Anolis sagrei: one gene and its partner. The protein of the gene in region 2 purifies or fractionates together with the protein of the main gene of each other region. This does not show direct contact. Links are inferred from orthologs where the notes say so. Each region holds a gene or a part of one and is shown on either strand. Other genes may lie near its edges.

Region 1 (7,355 bases), on a different chromosome or scaffold from region 2:
CTTCCTGCCATTTCACAGATCCATAGGTTCTCTCTGACATTCATCAGAGTTGGTCTCCAGTTTAAATAAGTTGTGTTATTCTACTACATCATTGTATGTAAGGACACCTGAGCATCCATGGATTTTGGTATTCACGGGGGGGGGGGGGGGGGAGACGTGCCTGGAACTAAATTCCAACAGATACAGAGGGCTACTCTACTTCAATATTGAACAAAATAAGCACAGAAGGAATATGGGATCTGTCCCGCTGAGGTTGCCCAAATCTTTATTAATTTATTTTATTTTTTTATCCTGCCTTTCCCTTGACAATAGGGATTCACAGCATCTGATATATGAGGCTTGCCTCTTTGTGACTAATGCTGGAGATAGTCTTGCTCCCATTTCACAAAGCAGGCCTCACCCCATCTCACAAGGATATGGTCAAATTGCTCAGCCAACTGTGCTTCAGCTCTTTTGTCTTTCTTCAAAAAGGCCTTCTCTAATATAATTTAATGCTAGAGTTAGCCATGGAAAGCTTAGCCTTCCCATATTAATTGAATAGTATCTTAATCCCAAAAACGATATACGAAGCTTTCCACAGCATCAAGGTAAACACCACTGCTAATATCTGGATAATATGAAAGCGAAAGCTGGCAACCTTCAATCTATTGTTTGCAGTACAGTGGAGTTCTCAATGAGGAGCGGAGAATGCCAATGGAGAGGTATAGCACCCTCTACTGGGTCTCTGCAATAAAGGTAACTTCAGGAACACATCTTGTAAAGGCAACACATGTATTTGAGGATGGGTACTTTGTTGCCAAATAGAAAGGTGTAATAAACACATGTAAATTATTGAAAGCTTGAGTCTGAGCTGAAAAAACACCTCGTTGTTGTTGTTGTTGTAAATGACCCAATGAATGAGAGTCCTCTACATCCACATTGTACAATTAATGCAATTTGATACCACTTTAACTACCCTGGCTCAAGGATAGGGCATCATGAGAGTTGTGATTTCACAAGGTCTTTAGCCTTCTCTGCCAGAGTGCTGTTGCCTCACCAAACTCCAACTCCCAGGATCCCATAGCAGTCAACTAATGATGGGTTTTTTTTGTTTTTGTTTTTGTTTTGCCGTGTCAGGTCTGATTTGAGAAACTGCAAGCCGCTTCTAGTGTGAGAGAATTGGCCGTCTGCAAGGACATTGCCCAAGGGACACCCGGATGTTTTGATGTTTTACCACCCTTGTGGGAGGCTTCTCTCGTGTCCCCGCATGGAGAGCTGGAGCTGATAGAGGGACTCATCCACACTCTTCCTGGATTTGAATCTCTGACCTGTCGGTCTTCAGTCCTGCTGGCACAAGGGTTTAACCCACTGCGCCACCAGGGGCTCTATCAAGGCTGTTAAAGTGGTGTCAAACAAAGTGCAGATGGACATCAACATCCCTGCTCAGATTTTCAGACTCAGGGCCATGGCTTTCTTGACTGAGTTCACCCATCTCTAATGTGGCTTTTCATGGACAGCCATCCAAGGCCTCATAGGGGGTTAATGTACCCACCATCACCTTCCAGAGCTGCCCTCTCCTGCAATAAAACATGGGCAGAATATCAATAGCATCCTCTTAAAATGTCTTGGTTGGTGGGCTCTTCCCACCGATGTTTATACAGTATGTGAAAGATAAATACAACAGAGAAGAGCATCTTTCCCTGCAATAAAATTATGTAATGCATACATTTTCTTGGAAGATATTCAAGTTTCAACATGGTGCAGTCAGCCCTTCACCTTCATTGGAGTTAGGGGCTTCCTGATGTGGGGGAATAGCAACACCCCCCACGTGTTTCAGGATTCAGCAACATATTTGTGTTCATTGGTTACAGCTCTCTTTCTCCTTTTGTTCCAGGAAAACTTGCAGTGGTACGGGAGATGATGGCTTGCAGATTGGCACTTTGCCCCATACTACCATTTTGAGTAATACTGGGTAAAACAATCACTTTCCCCTTTGAAATGAAACACCGAGCCTTATAAAACCTTTCTCATAATTTCCCACTTCCATAGCATTATATCAGACATTGTATCATACATTGCCAGCCAAATACAACTGTGATGCCAGCTTTCAATTTGTAAAGATATATTTTCTTCTTCACAGTATACAGTGTAGTCTGTACAGCCTAATCCTGTGAATGTGTACTCAAAGTTTGTCTTTAACATGGGTAATAGCAGACAATATTAATAGCCCTATATTGTTGTTTATTGCTTTCAGGCCTATGTCTCAAGTATTCACTCTTGAACTGAACATTAGGACCTCATCTGGTTAGGCACACAAAACCTTGGGATGTGACTGTTGATTAGGCTCCATCTACACTGCTATATAATGCAGTTCGAAACCATTTTATATGGTAGTATAGACCCATCTTAATAGACCCATATTAAGATAATTGGGGGAGGGAGTTACAAAAGAAGAAAGAAAAAGAAAAGAAATTAAATAGATTATAGATTTATAGGCTGTTAAGGGTTAGGGAGGAGGGAAGGAATTGCAAAGAAGAAGAAGAAGACCACCAACATTCTGTTTTCCATTCCTGAGTTGGGATTATAGTCACTGCTATTTTGTTGTTGATTCATTCATTCATTCCCTTCCAACTCTTCGTGACACCTCCCCCAGCTCCTTCAAGGTCCAGCCAGTCACTTCAAAGGTACTATCCATCCATCTTGCCCTTGGTCGGTACCTCTTCTTTTTTCCTTCCATTTTTCCCAGCATCATTATCTTCTCCAAGCTTTCCTGTCTTCTCATGATGTGACCAAAGTACTTCTTCTTTGCCTCTAATATCCTTCCCTACAGTGAACAGCTGGGTATTATTTCCTGGAGTATGGACTTCTTATGGTCCAAAGCACTCTCATAATTTTCCTCTAGCACCACAGTTCAAAAGCATCTATCTTCCTTCGCTCAGCCTTCCTTATGGCCCAGCTCTCACATCCGTAGGTGACTATGGAGAATACCATTGCTTTAACTATATGGATCTTCGTTGCCAGGGTGATGTCTCTTTGTTGTTGTTCATTTGTTCAGTTGCTTCTGACTCTTCGTGACCTCATGGGCCAGCCCACGCCAGAGCTCTCTGTCAGCTGTCACCATCCCCAGCTCCTTCAGGGTCCAGCCAGTCCCTTCAAGGATGCCATCTACCCATCTTGCCCTTGGTTGGCCCCTCTTCCTTTTTCCTTCCATTTTCCCCAGCATCATGATCTTCTCCAAGCTTTCCTGTCTTCAGGATGTGGCCAAAGTACTTCATCTTTGTCTCTACTACCCTTCCCTACAGTGAGCAGCTGGGTATTATTTCCTGGAGTATGGACTTCTTATGGTCCAAAGCACTCTCTCAATTTTCCTCCAACACAACAGTTCAACAGTGTCTATCTTCCTTATGGCCCAGCTCTCACATCCATAGGTTTCTATGGGGAATACCCAGGGGCGGCTCAACCCATTACACAAAGTAAGCATTCGCAGTATAGTTGATTTTGGCCAGGGGCGCTCTTGAGGCGCTCTTGGGGGAAAATAGACCTTGACATATGTGAGTTCGGTTGTAGTTACTGGGATTTATAGTTCACCTAAAATCAAAGAGCATTCTGAACTCCACCAATGATAGAATTGAACCAAATATGGCACACAGAACTCCCACAACGAACAGAAAATATAGATCAGTGATTGGTTGGGGTGGGGGGACCAAAATATTGTTTGCTTACGTTGAAAATTACCTAGGGCTGCCTCTGGGAATACCATTGCTTTAACTATGCGGATCTTTGTTGCCAGTGTGATGTCTCTACTCTTCACTATTTTATCAAGATTGGGCATTGCTCTCCTCCCAAGAAGCAAACGTCTTCTGATTTCCTGGCTGAGGTCTGCATCTGCAGTTATCTTTGCTCCTAGAAATACAAAGTCTGTCACTGCCTGCACGTTTTCTCCTTCTGCTTGCCAGTTATCAATCAGTCTGGTTGCCAGAATCTTGGTTTTTTTGATGTTTAACTGCGACCCAGCCTTTGCACATTCTTCTTTCACCTTGTGTATGCAACTTGCCAAGTGTATGCAATTTAACAAGAAGGCTGCTCAGCTCCTCCTCGCTTTCGAGCATCAAAGTGGCATCATCTGCTGGAAGGAGCACAATACACAGATTTGCCGGGTCAGCGCATGCGCACAATGGCTGTTCTCCGAGGGCCGTGAGCTCAGACTCGCCTGCCTCCTTCTGCTCCGGGGCCTGCAGTGGCGGGGCCGGCCCGCTAGGGGCGCTCTCCCGGCGGGGCCTGCTCTCTTTCTCGCCCGCCTGCCTGCCTGCCTTCCTGCGAAGGGAGGGCGGGCTCAGTCCCTCCTCCTCCTCCTCCTCCTCCTCCTCCTCCTCCTCCTCCCTCTGCTGCTGCTCCTGCCTCGGCGCTGCCTCTCCGGGAGCCTGCCTGCTTGCTTGCCTGCGTGCCGCGGCGGCCACTGAAGCGCCATCGATGCCGGGAGCGCGGAGGCGGCGGTGGCGGCGCTCCTGCTGCTGCTGAGCGAGGTGGGGGCGGCCCCGCCCGGAGATGGGGATCCTCAGCATCACGGACCAGGTATCCCGCGGGAACGCCGAGGCCTCCCCCTCCCTCCCGGCCGCGCCCGCCACGCGAGCCTGGGGATGCGCGGCCTAGTCCGGAGCCGCCCCTTCCTCGCTCGGCGGGAAACTCCCCTCCCCGCCTCCCCCAGCCTCCTTGGCCCCGCCGCCCCAGAGGAACCCCCTCCTCAGTGGGGGAAGCCAGGAGAAGGAGAGGAGGAGGAAGGCGGGCCTCGGCAACGCCCGCCTTTCCCGCCCAAGGAGGCGCAGCAGCGCGGCAGGCAGGCAGGCCTCCCTCCTCCTCCTCCTCTCCTCACTGTGGATGGACGCAGTTTGGCCCCGCTCTCGCGGCCATGGCTCGAGGCTAGCGGACCCACTTTGCAAGGCCTTCAGCCCAAGAGGGATGAAAGCGCGTCAACAAAAAGCCACAGCTCCCAGGATTCCATAGCATTGAGCCCTGGCGCCCCAGGGAGAACGCGGCGTCCCTTCTCTTGCTCTTCCTTTCTTCCTTCCTTCCTTCCTTCCTTCCTTCCTTCTTTTCCAGTCCTTGCCGGGTTGCCTTCCACGGCGCCCCCTCCCCCGGCCATGATGCCAAGGCCGCATTCGGGGAGGGAGCCTCGTCGCCGCCACCGCCGCCGCCTCAGGGCGCGTCTGCACTGTCGAACTAATGCAGTTGGACACCGCTTGAACTTCACTGGCCCCATGCTATGTCATCCCCGGAGTTGTAGTTTGGAAAGGCACCAGTTTTAGGAAAGCATGATCTTTTAGAGATCAAATTACTAGAGGTTGTAATTTCCAACAACTAGTATCCTTTGGATTATTTAAAGAATCACGGAATCTAGGTTGTAGATTTTTTTTGGGCTGTATGGCCATATTCTAGAGGCATTCTCTCCTGACGTTTCGCCTGCATCTGTGGCAAGCATCATCAGAGCCTCAGGCCCCTTCCTTCCCCCCCTCAGCCGCTTAAGCTGAGGCTCTGAAGATGCTTGCCACAGATGCAGGCGAAACGTCAGAAGAGAACATGGCCATACAGCCTAAAAAACCTGCAACAACCCAGTGATTCCTGCCATGAAAGCCTTCAACAATACATAATCACAGGATTCCCCATGGTGCAATGGGTTAAACCCTTGTGCTAGCTGAATCCGGGGAGCGCCCTCTGTCAGCTTCAGCTTCCCATGCATGGACATGAGAGAAGTCTCCCACAAGGAGGGTAAAACATCAAAAACATCCGTGTGTCTCCTGGGAATGTCCTTGCAGATGGCCAATTATCTCATACCAGAAGTGACTTGCAGTTTCTCAAGTTTCTCCTGACATGGAGGGAAAAAAAAGAATTACAGAGTTGGAAAAACCACAAAGGTCATCCAATCCGTTCTGGGAATCACTGGGTTGCTGTGAGTTTTTCAGGCTGTATGGCCATGTTCCTGCAGCATCCTCTCCAGCAGCATCCTCTCCTCCGTGATTGTAGGAATCACTAAGTTGCTATCAGTTTTTCAGGCTTATGGCCATGCTCCAGCAGCATTCTCTCCTGAAGTTTCACCTGCATCTGTGGCTGGCATCTTCAGACGAACCTTCAGATGTGGCTGATATCTTCAGAGGCTCATCTGAAGATGCAGCGGAACGTCAGGAGAGAATGCTGCTGGAGCATGGCCATAAGCTTGACAAACTGATAGCAACTCAGTGGTTCCTACAACGGACTGGATGAAGGAAACAATGAAAATGAACAAAATCTGGCTATCAGTATTTTTAAAAAAACTCTAAAATCACATCAGCAAATAAAGAAAAACACTTTGAAAACACAGGAATTCCAGACAAGAAAAATCAGGCCTCTCAACTAAGGATTCCCCCAGGCAGGAAGCAGCCAGGCTTTGAAGCTGCAAGGCTTTTCAATGCTAGTCAAGGTGATTAATTGCACCATTCACACTTGCCTCCAACATACAAGAGTTCTTTCTCCATCTCTGGATCTTCCACAGATATATAAACCTCTCTCACTTAGTTCCAATATACCTCAGAACCTCTGAAGGTGCTGCTGTAGATGTGGGTGAAACGTCAGGCGAGAATGACCATTGGGGGTGCTTTGAATGCAGTTTTCCTGCTTCTTGGCAGGGGGTTGGACTGGATGGCCCACAAGGTCTCTTCCAGCTCTATAATTCTATGAATGCTTCTGGAACATGGCCATGCAGCCCGGATAACTCACATCAGCCCAGGATTGGATGATTTTTGCAATCTTTCCTACTTTGTAATTCTACAAGCTGTAGTTATCTGCAAAACTCACAGTAACTCATCATCCAGTCCAATCCCATTCTGCCATGCACATAATCAAAGCACCCCCAACAGATGGCCATACAACCTCTGCTTAAAAACATCCAGAGAAGGAGACTGCACCACACTCTGAGGTAGCACATTCCACTGCTCTTACCTTCAGGAAGTTCTTCCAAATGTTCAGGTGGAATAATTTTTCCCACAATTTGAATCCACTGCTCTGTGTCCTAGTCTCCAGATATGCAGAAAACAAGCTTGCCCCCTCCTCAGTGTAACATCCTTCCATAGCATTGAGCCATGGCAGTTCAAGTGGTGTCAAATGGCATTAATTCTGCAATGTAGATGCATGCTCTCTTCTCCAGGAAGTGGAGCAAGGAAGATTTTTTTTCTCCAGAGGTCGTTTCTCCTCTCCGCTCCTCTGTTGTGAAAGGAAAATTCGGTACAATTCCTCTATCTGTCTTAAAGGCAGGCTTGGGATCCAAGTGGCAACACTATTTCTTGGGCACTGTCTAGTGCTGCACCTCGCTCTGCCTCTCCCTCCAGATTGAGGGGCTTCCTCTTTTG
Region 2 (6,988 bases):
GCTACCTTGGCAGCCACCTCTCCACCAAAGTCAACATCGTCACCGAAATACAACACCGCCTGAGCTCTGCGAGTGCAGCATTTTTCCAAATGAAGCAGAGAGTGTTTGAGGACCGGGACATCCATAGGGAGACCAAGGTGCTTGTCTATAAAGCTATTCCCCTCCCAACCCTGCTCTACGCCTGCGAGACATGGGCAGTCTACAGACGTCACATGCCTCTGAAAAATCCTGCAAATCTCTTGGGAAGACAAGCAGACAAATATCAGCGTGCTGGAAGAAGCATTGAAGTGATGCTCCTCCGCCATCCACTCCGCTGGACTGGTCACGTTGTCCGGATGCCCGACCACCGTCTCCCAAAGCAGTTGCTCTACTCCGAACTCAAGAACGGACAACGGAATGTTGGTGGACAGGAAAAGAGATTTAAGGATGGGCTCAAAGCCAGCCTTAAAAACTCTGGCATAGACACTGAGAACTGGGAAGCCCTGGCCCTTGAGCGCTCCTGCTGGAGGTCAGCTGTGACCAGCAGTGCTGCAGAATTTGAGGAGGCATGAATGGAGGGCGAAAGGGAGAAGCGTGCCAAGAGGAAGGCACGTCAAGCCAACCCCGACCAAGACCACCTTCCACCTGGAAACCGATGCCCTCACTGCGGAAGGGAGAAGATGCAGATCAAGAATAGGGCTCCACAGCCACCTACGGGCCCAGCCCCAGGTTACCACTCTTGGAGGAACATCATCCTCGGACTATGAGGGATCACCTAAGTAAGTAAGGACAACTAGTTAAACGTGAGCCAACAGTGTGATGTGGTGGCAAAAAAAGCCAATGGGATTTTGGCCTGCATCAACAGGAGCCTAGTGTCTAGTTCCAGGGAAGTCGTGCTCCCCACGCTCTATGCTGCCTTGGTCAGACCACACCTGGAATCACACTGTGTCCAATTCTGGGCACCACAATTCAAGAGAGATATTGACAAGCTGGAATGTGTCCAGACAAAGAAGGTGACTCAAATGATCAAGGGTCTGGAGAACAAGCCCTATGAGCAGCGGCTTAAGGAGCTGGGCATGTTTAGCCTGAAGGAGAGAAGAATCATAGAATCCTAGAGTTGGAAGAGACCTCCTGGGCCATCATCCAGTCCAACTCCATTCTGCCAAGAAGAAGGAATGTTGCATTCAAAGCACCCCTGACAGATGGCCATCCAGCCTCTGTTTCAAAGCTTCCAAAGAAGGAGCCTCCACCACACTCCCCCCGGGGCAGAGAGTTCCACTGCTGAACATTCCTCACAGTCAGGAAGTTCTTCCTCATGTTCAGGTGGAATCTCCTCTCTTGTAGTTTGAAGCCATTGTTCCACTGCGTCCTAGTCTCCGGGGAAGCAGAAAGGAAGCTTGCTCCCTCCTCCTCCCTGTGGCTTCCTCTCACATATTCATACACGGCTCTCATCATATCTCCTCTCAGCCTTCTCTTCTTCAGGCTAAACATGCCCAGACTAAGAGTAGCCATGATCAGGATCATGTATAAATATGTGAGGGGAAGTCCTAGGGAGAGGGAACAAGCTTCCTTTCTGCTTCCTTGGAGGCTAGGACGCAATGGAGCCATGGTTTCAAAGTACAATAGCCATGGCTTCAAACTACAAGAGAGGAGATTCCATCTGAACGTGAGGAAGAACTTCCTGACTGTGAGAGCTGTTCAGCAGTGGAACTCTCTGTCCCGGTGGGAGAGTGGTGGAGGCTCCTTCTTTGTAGGCTTTTAAGCAGAGGCTGGGTGGCCATCTGTCAGGGGTGATTTGAATGCGATTGTCCTGCTTCTTGGTAGAAAGGGGTTGGACTGAATGGCCCAGGAGGTCTCTTCCAACTGTTTGATTCTAGGATTCTATGCATGTTTAGTCTGCAGAAGAGAAGGCTGAAAGGAAACATGAGGAAGGCCATGGATCAATATGTGAGGGGATGTTCTAGGGAGGAGAGGGCAAGCTTCCTTTCTGCTGCTCTGGAGGCTAGGACGCAATGGAGCCATGGGTTCAAGCTTATGAGATCCCACCTGAAGATGAGGAAGAACTTCCTAACTGTAAGAAGTGCTGTTCAGCAGTGGAACTCTTTGCCCCGGAGGGAGTGTGGTGGAGGCTCCTTCTATGGGGGCTTTGAAACAGAGGCTGGATGGCCATCTGTCAGGGGTGCTTTGAACGTGATTGTCCTGCTCCTTGGCAGAATGGGGTTGGACTGGATGATGGCCCACCAGGTCTCTTCCAGCTTGAGGATTCTATGAGCCGTGGCTCCTCTCCACTTTCCTCTCCCCTGAGGGCGAAAGAGGCCCGTCTCTCCAGGGTGCTCCTCCTTCGAGGGAGCCTCCTTCCTTCCTTCCTTCGGGGTCTCCAGGGCTGTGGCCCTCTGAGGGGGAGCCTCCCCTTCCTCCCCTGGACCCCTTCCACCTCAGACTCCCTCGCGCTCTCTACTTGTTTTGCCCAGATTGAGAGCCAGGGCGATTCCGGGCAAAGAGGCGCCAGGACTCTTCCTTTCTCTCTTCCTCCCTTGGGGCCAGGCCGGGCCTCCTTTCTCCCTGGGGCGCCCCTTGCAGGCACCAAGGAAGGAAGGAAGGAAGGCCTCCCTCCCTCCCTCCCGGATGGGCCTGATCGGCCTGGAGGAAAGGAACGAGGCGGAACTCACCCGGGGCCCGCGCCACCGTCGTCGTCCTCCTCCTCCTCCTCTTTCTTGCTCGGCTTCCCTTCTTGGCGGCTCCGGCTCCAAAATGGACGCCTCAAGGAGCGCAGCCGGAACCGGAAGCGGCGAGCCCCGGAAGCGGAAGGGGCGGAGCTTGAGGCGCTTCCCCGCCCGGGCCGGCGATGGAGGAGCCTCCGAGCGGCGGCGCCCTCCCCTCCCGGAGCCCCTCTCTTCCGCCGCCGCCGCCTCAGGAGGAGGAGACCCCCTCCCCGCCCGCGCAGCCCTGGGCCCGGCTCTCGGCCTGGCTGGAGTGCGCCTGCGCAGTCACCTTCGACCTGGAGCTCGGGCAGGCCATCGAGGTGGGAGGAGCGCGGGTGACGTCACGGCGCCCCCTGGCCCCGCCCCCTCGTCTGGCCCCGCCCCCTCCTCGCCGCTCTAACGCCCCTCCCTCCCTTCCCTTCTTCCCTTGCAGCTGGTCTACCCGCCGGAGCCGGCGCTCAGCGAGAAGGAGGTAAGCCCCGCCCACAGGGAGCCAGGCCACGCCCCCGGGGAGGGAGGCCACGCCCCATCAGGAACAGCCATAGGATTTAAAGGGGAAACACCAGGCCTGGGCCCACTGGGGACCTCCCTCTGGGGGTTTTGGACTACAACTCCCACAGTTCCTCACAGCCGGTGGGAGTTGTAGTCCAAAACCCCCAGAGGGAGGACCCCAGTGGGCCCAGGCCAGGGATAGATGCGGCTGGTGTTTGTAAACTCTCACAAACATTAAAAAGCTTCCCTTGGTTAGTTCACAATCGAATCCTGGGAGAGCGGGTTGAGCTCCCCCTGTCAGCTCCAGCTCCCCATGCAAAGGGGACCTGAGAGAAGCCTCCCTCCCACAAGGGTGGGAAAACATCTGGGCAGCGTCCCCGGGGCAATGTCCTTCCAGGCGACCAATTCTCTCACACCAGAAGCGACTTGCAGTTTCTAAAGCCACTCCCAACACACACACACACAAAATACACAACCATTTCTTCAACCTTTTGGAGAATAATAATAATAACAACTTGATTTTTATACCCCGCCAGCCATCTCCCCAAGGGGACTCGGGGCAGCTTACAAGGGACAACAATTACAGATAAAACACAATCAAATTAAAAACATCAGATAAAATATAAAGACAATCACAATTGTAAACAACAACAAAATAATATGGCTGAGAAAGAACACAGCCGCAGTCCAGGCTCCATGAATGTAGTTCAGCCTGGGGAGGGAGTTCCAGAGCCATGGGGGGGGGGCACCACTTGCACTTTGGCCCGGTTGCTTCCCTGCAAATCTGCCCTTTTCCCCATACTCCCAAAACACATTCTCTCCCTTCCTCTGAGAAAGGAGCAAGTGGCCAGGCTCTGCGTTGCATGGCAGACCGGCCTCCCTGCCAGACACACAACTCCTTCCCATGGAGAAGAGCTTGGTGGAGGCCAGACCAGGAATATTTTAGGAATATTACAAGGTCTCTTACGGAGCAGTATTTCTGCTGATTCTGTTCCAAGACGTTGAATAATAAATAAATAAATAAATAAACTTTATCTATAACCCGCCACCATCTCCCTAAAGGGGACTCGGGGCGGCTAACATGAGACCAAGCCCAAAAATAATATAGCAAAATAAAATACAACACAATAGAAAGATTACATCACAACAAAATACATAAAATAGCAAAGTAAAATAAACAGTGCAAAATGATATAATTAAACTGAGTTGTTATAGGTATTTCGGGCTATATGGCCATGGTCTAGAGCAGTGGTTCTCAACCTGGGGTCTCCAGGTGTTTTTGGCCTACAACTCCCAGGAACCCCAGTCAGTTTACCAGCTGTTAGGATTTCTGGGAGTTGAAGGCCAAAACATCTGGGGACCCACAGGTTGAGAACCACTGGTCTAGAGGTATTCACTCCTGACGTTTCGCCTGCATCTGTGGCAAGCATCCTCAGAGGTAGTGAGGTCTGTTGGAACTAGGAAAAGGGGTTTATATATCTGTGGAAAGCCTTCAACAATACATTGATATAATAAAAGTCAATCACAAAGGGCGGGCCAAATGCACAAGATAAAATATTAAAGCCTTGGATGAGGTCGGGATAGAAGAATTGTATTTGTGCGGGAGGAGCCAAGGAGGAGGAGCAGTGACGGGGTTTGGCCTTCATTAGGAAGGCCAAACACAGTCAAATAGGAAGCCACAGGGAGGAGGAGGGAGCAAGCTTGTTTTCTGCTTCCCTGGAGACTAGGACGCAAGGGAACAAGGGCTTCAAACTACAAGAGAGGAGATTCCACCTGAACATGAGGAAGAACTTCCTGACTGTAAGGAGAGCCGTTCAGCAGTGGAACTCTCTGCCCCGGAGCGTGGTGGAGGCTCCATCTTTGGAAGCTTTGAAACAGAGGCAGGATGGCCATCTGTCAGGGGTGCTTTGAATGCAAGATTCCTGCTTCTTGACAGAATGGGGTTGGACTGGATGAGGGCCCACCAGGTCTCTTCCAACTCTAGGATTCTAGGATTCATTAAGGACGGGGGAAAGTGCCTCATGAGGACAACTGTAGATGGGAACAAACACAAAATGGGTGAAAGGGTCACTCTCCGAAGACAGTTGAAGAAGGTGACTCCCATCGGTTCCTGGGCAGATGCTGACTTTCCTTAACTGACCCTTGGTTTCCCTTCTCAAGGAGCCTTGCTGGCTTCCTTCTTAACGTAAGGAACCTTGTAAACATTCCCTTAACTTCAGGAGCCATTGCCTCTGATGACGTAAACACGACATTTTTCATCCAAAGTTTAGCAGTTAATCATTTCTCTGTGGTCGTCAGCAGTTGAGCAACTTTTAATTACGGTTCAGCAGTGTAGTTGTGTTCCAGGCCTTCGTATTTCAGAATTGTGTTTTCAGCACAGTGGGGGCCCCTTCATCCCCCTCCCACACAATTCCCTTCAAGCCCTGCATCCTCTTTCTCTCCCCCCCCCCCCCCACGCTGTGGCCACCCCCAGCCTCACCTCACTTCCTCTGATCTTTCTGCAGAAGACCAGCATCTGCTACCTGGCCTTCCCGGATTCCTATTCAGGTGAGTGGAGAAGGGGGCACGGAAGGGGGCCAAAGGGAGCCTCGGGGGGGGGGGGGGGGAGAGGCAGCCAGAAGGGGTCCTCTCTGCCTCTGCCCCCCCCCTCACCTGCCACTCCCTTCCATCTCCCTTCCTTCCTTCCTTTGCCAGGGAGCCTGGGGGACACGCAGTACTGCTTCCGCTTCCGCCAGTCCGGGTCCCGCCTCCGGGAGCGCCCCTGGGCCCAGAGCGCCACCGCCTGCCGCAAGGAGGCCCCCGCCGCCCTGCAGGTCAGGAACACAGGGGCCCCGCCTGGGGATTGGGCCCAAAATGGGGGCCACAAAGCCTCAAGGGCCTCCTTCTTCCTCCCCTTCTCCCTCCCAGCAGGAGACGGCCCACTACTTTGGCTACGTCTACTTCCGGCAGGTCAGGGACTCCTCCGTCAAGAGGGGGTACTTCCAGAAGGTGAGTGGCCACCGTGTCCCCCCAACCCCCCCCCCCCCATGCGTGCACATCCACGGGCCCAGCAGGACCCCTACAAGGGGGATTGTATCTCCGAGAGCGACACAGACACTTCTCTCTTCACGTGTGTGCGTGTTTCTCCCCCCCCCCCCCTCTGCCTCCGTGTCGCAGTCCTTGGTGCTGGTCTCCCGCCTACCCTACGTGAACCTCTTCCAGTCTCTGCTGCAGCTCATTGCCCCCGAGTACTTTGACAAGCTGGAGCCCTGCCTGGAGGCCGGTGAGGAGGAGGAGGGGCACTTTGCAGGGGGCACTTTGGGGGGGGGGGAGCCTCCTGGGCCATGTCTGTGGGGCAGAGGCTGCCGATTTGCTGGCTTTGTCCAGCCTGAAGGGTCCGTGGTGGGGAGGGGGCACACGCCACCTTTCCTGGCCTGGGTGAGAGGGGGGGGCCACGGGCTGTGAGGCAGCCTGGCTTGTGTTGCCAGCAGAGCCTGAGCAGAAGGGGGGGGGGGGGTCCCCAGTCCCTGGCTAGAGGTGGTGGGCTCAAGTGGCCCAGCACTTTGCAAGGGGGCACTTTGGGGGGGGGGAGCCTCCTGGGCCATGTCTGTGGGGCAGAGGCTGCTGATTTGCTGGCTTTGTCCAGCCTGAAGGGTCCGTGGTGGGGAGGGGGCACACGCCACCTTTCCTGGCTTGGGTGAGAGGGGGGGCCCACGGGCTGTGAGGCAGCCTGGCTTGTGTTGCCAGCAGAGCCTGAGCAGAAGGGGGGGGGATCCCCAGTCCCTGGCTAGAGATGGTGGGCTCAAGTGGCTTTGTCCAGCCTGAAGGGTCTGTGG

The links. The genes of interacting proteins can lie anywhere in the genome.
Region 1: the proteins of PPP6R2 (region 2) and ANKRD52 purify together in Homo sapiens (affinity purification with mass spectrometry; 3 studies listed by BioGRID and IntAct, counting the BioPlex papers as one, with this or other methods). This does not show direct contact. The link is inferred for Anolis sagrei from reciprocal best matches to the Homo sapiens genes PPP6R2 and ANKRD52.

What each region holds. Positions count from the first base shown.
Region 1 is NC_090022.1:138,444,256-138,451,610, forward strand, and holds the start of ANKRD52 (serine/threonine-protein phosphatase 6 regulatory ankyrin repeat subunit C), read left to right. Parts: upstream 1-4,344; 5' UTR 4,345-4,524; coding exon 4,525-4,551; intron 4,552-7,355. UniProt on the Homo sapiens protein: Putative regulatory subunit of protein phosphatase 6 (PP6) that may be involved in the recognition of phosphoprotein substrates.
Region 2 is NC_090025.1:200,515,151-200,522,138, reverse strand, and holds the start of PPP6R2 (serine/threonine-protein phosphatase 6 regulatory subunit 2), read right to left. Parts: upstream 3,020-6,988; 5' UTR 3,002-3,019; coding exon of another isoform or gene 2,825-3,001; exon of another isoform or gene 2,649-2,824; intron 1-2,648. Other genes in the region: protein DENND6B, read left to right, coding at 2,825-3,001, 3,115-3,153, 5,678-5,720, 5,868-5,986, 6,081-6,161, 6,330-6,435. UniProt on the Homo sapiens protein: Regulatory subunit of protein phosphatase 6 (PP6). May function as a scaffolding PP6 subunit. Involved in the PP6-mediated dephosphorylation of NFKBIE opposing its degradation in response to TNF-alpha.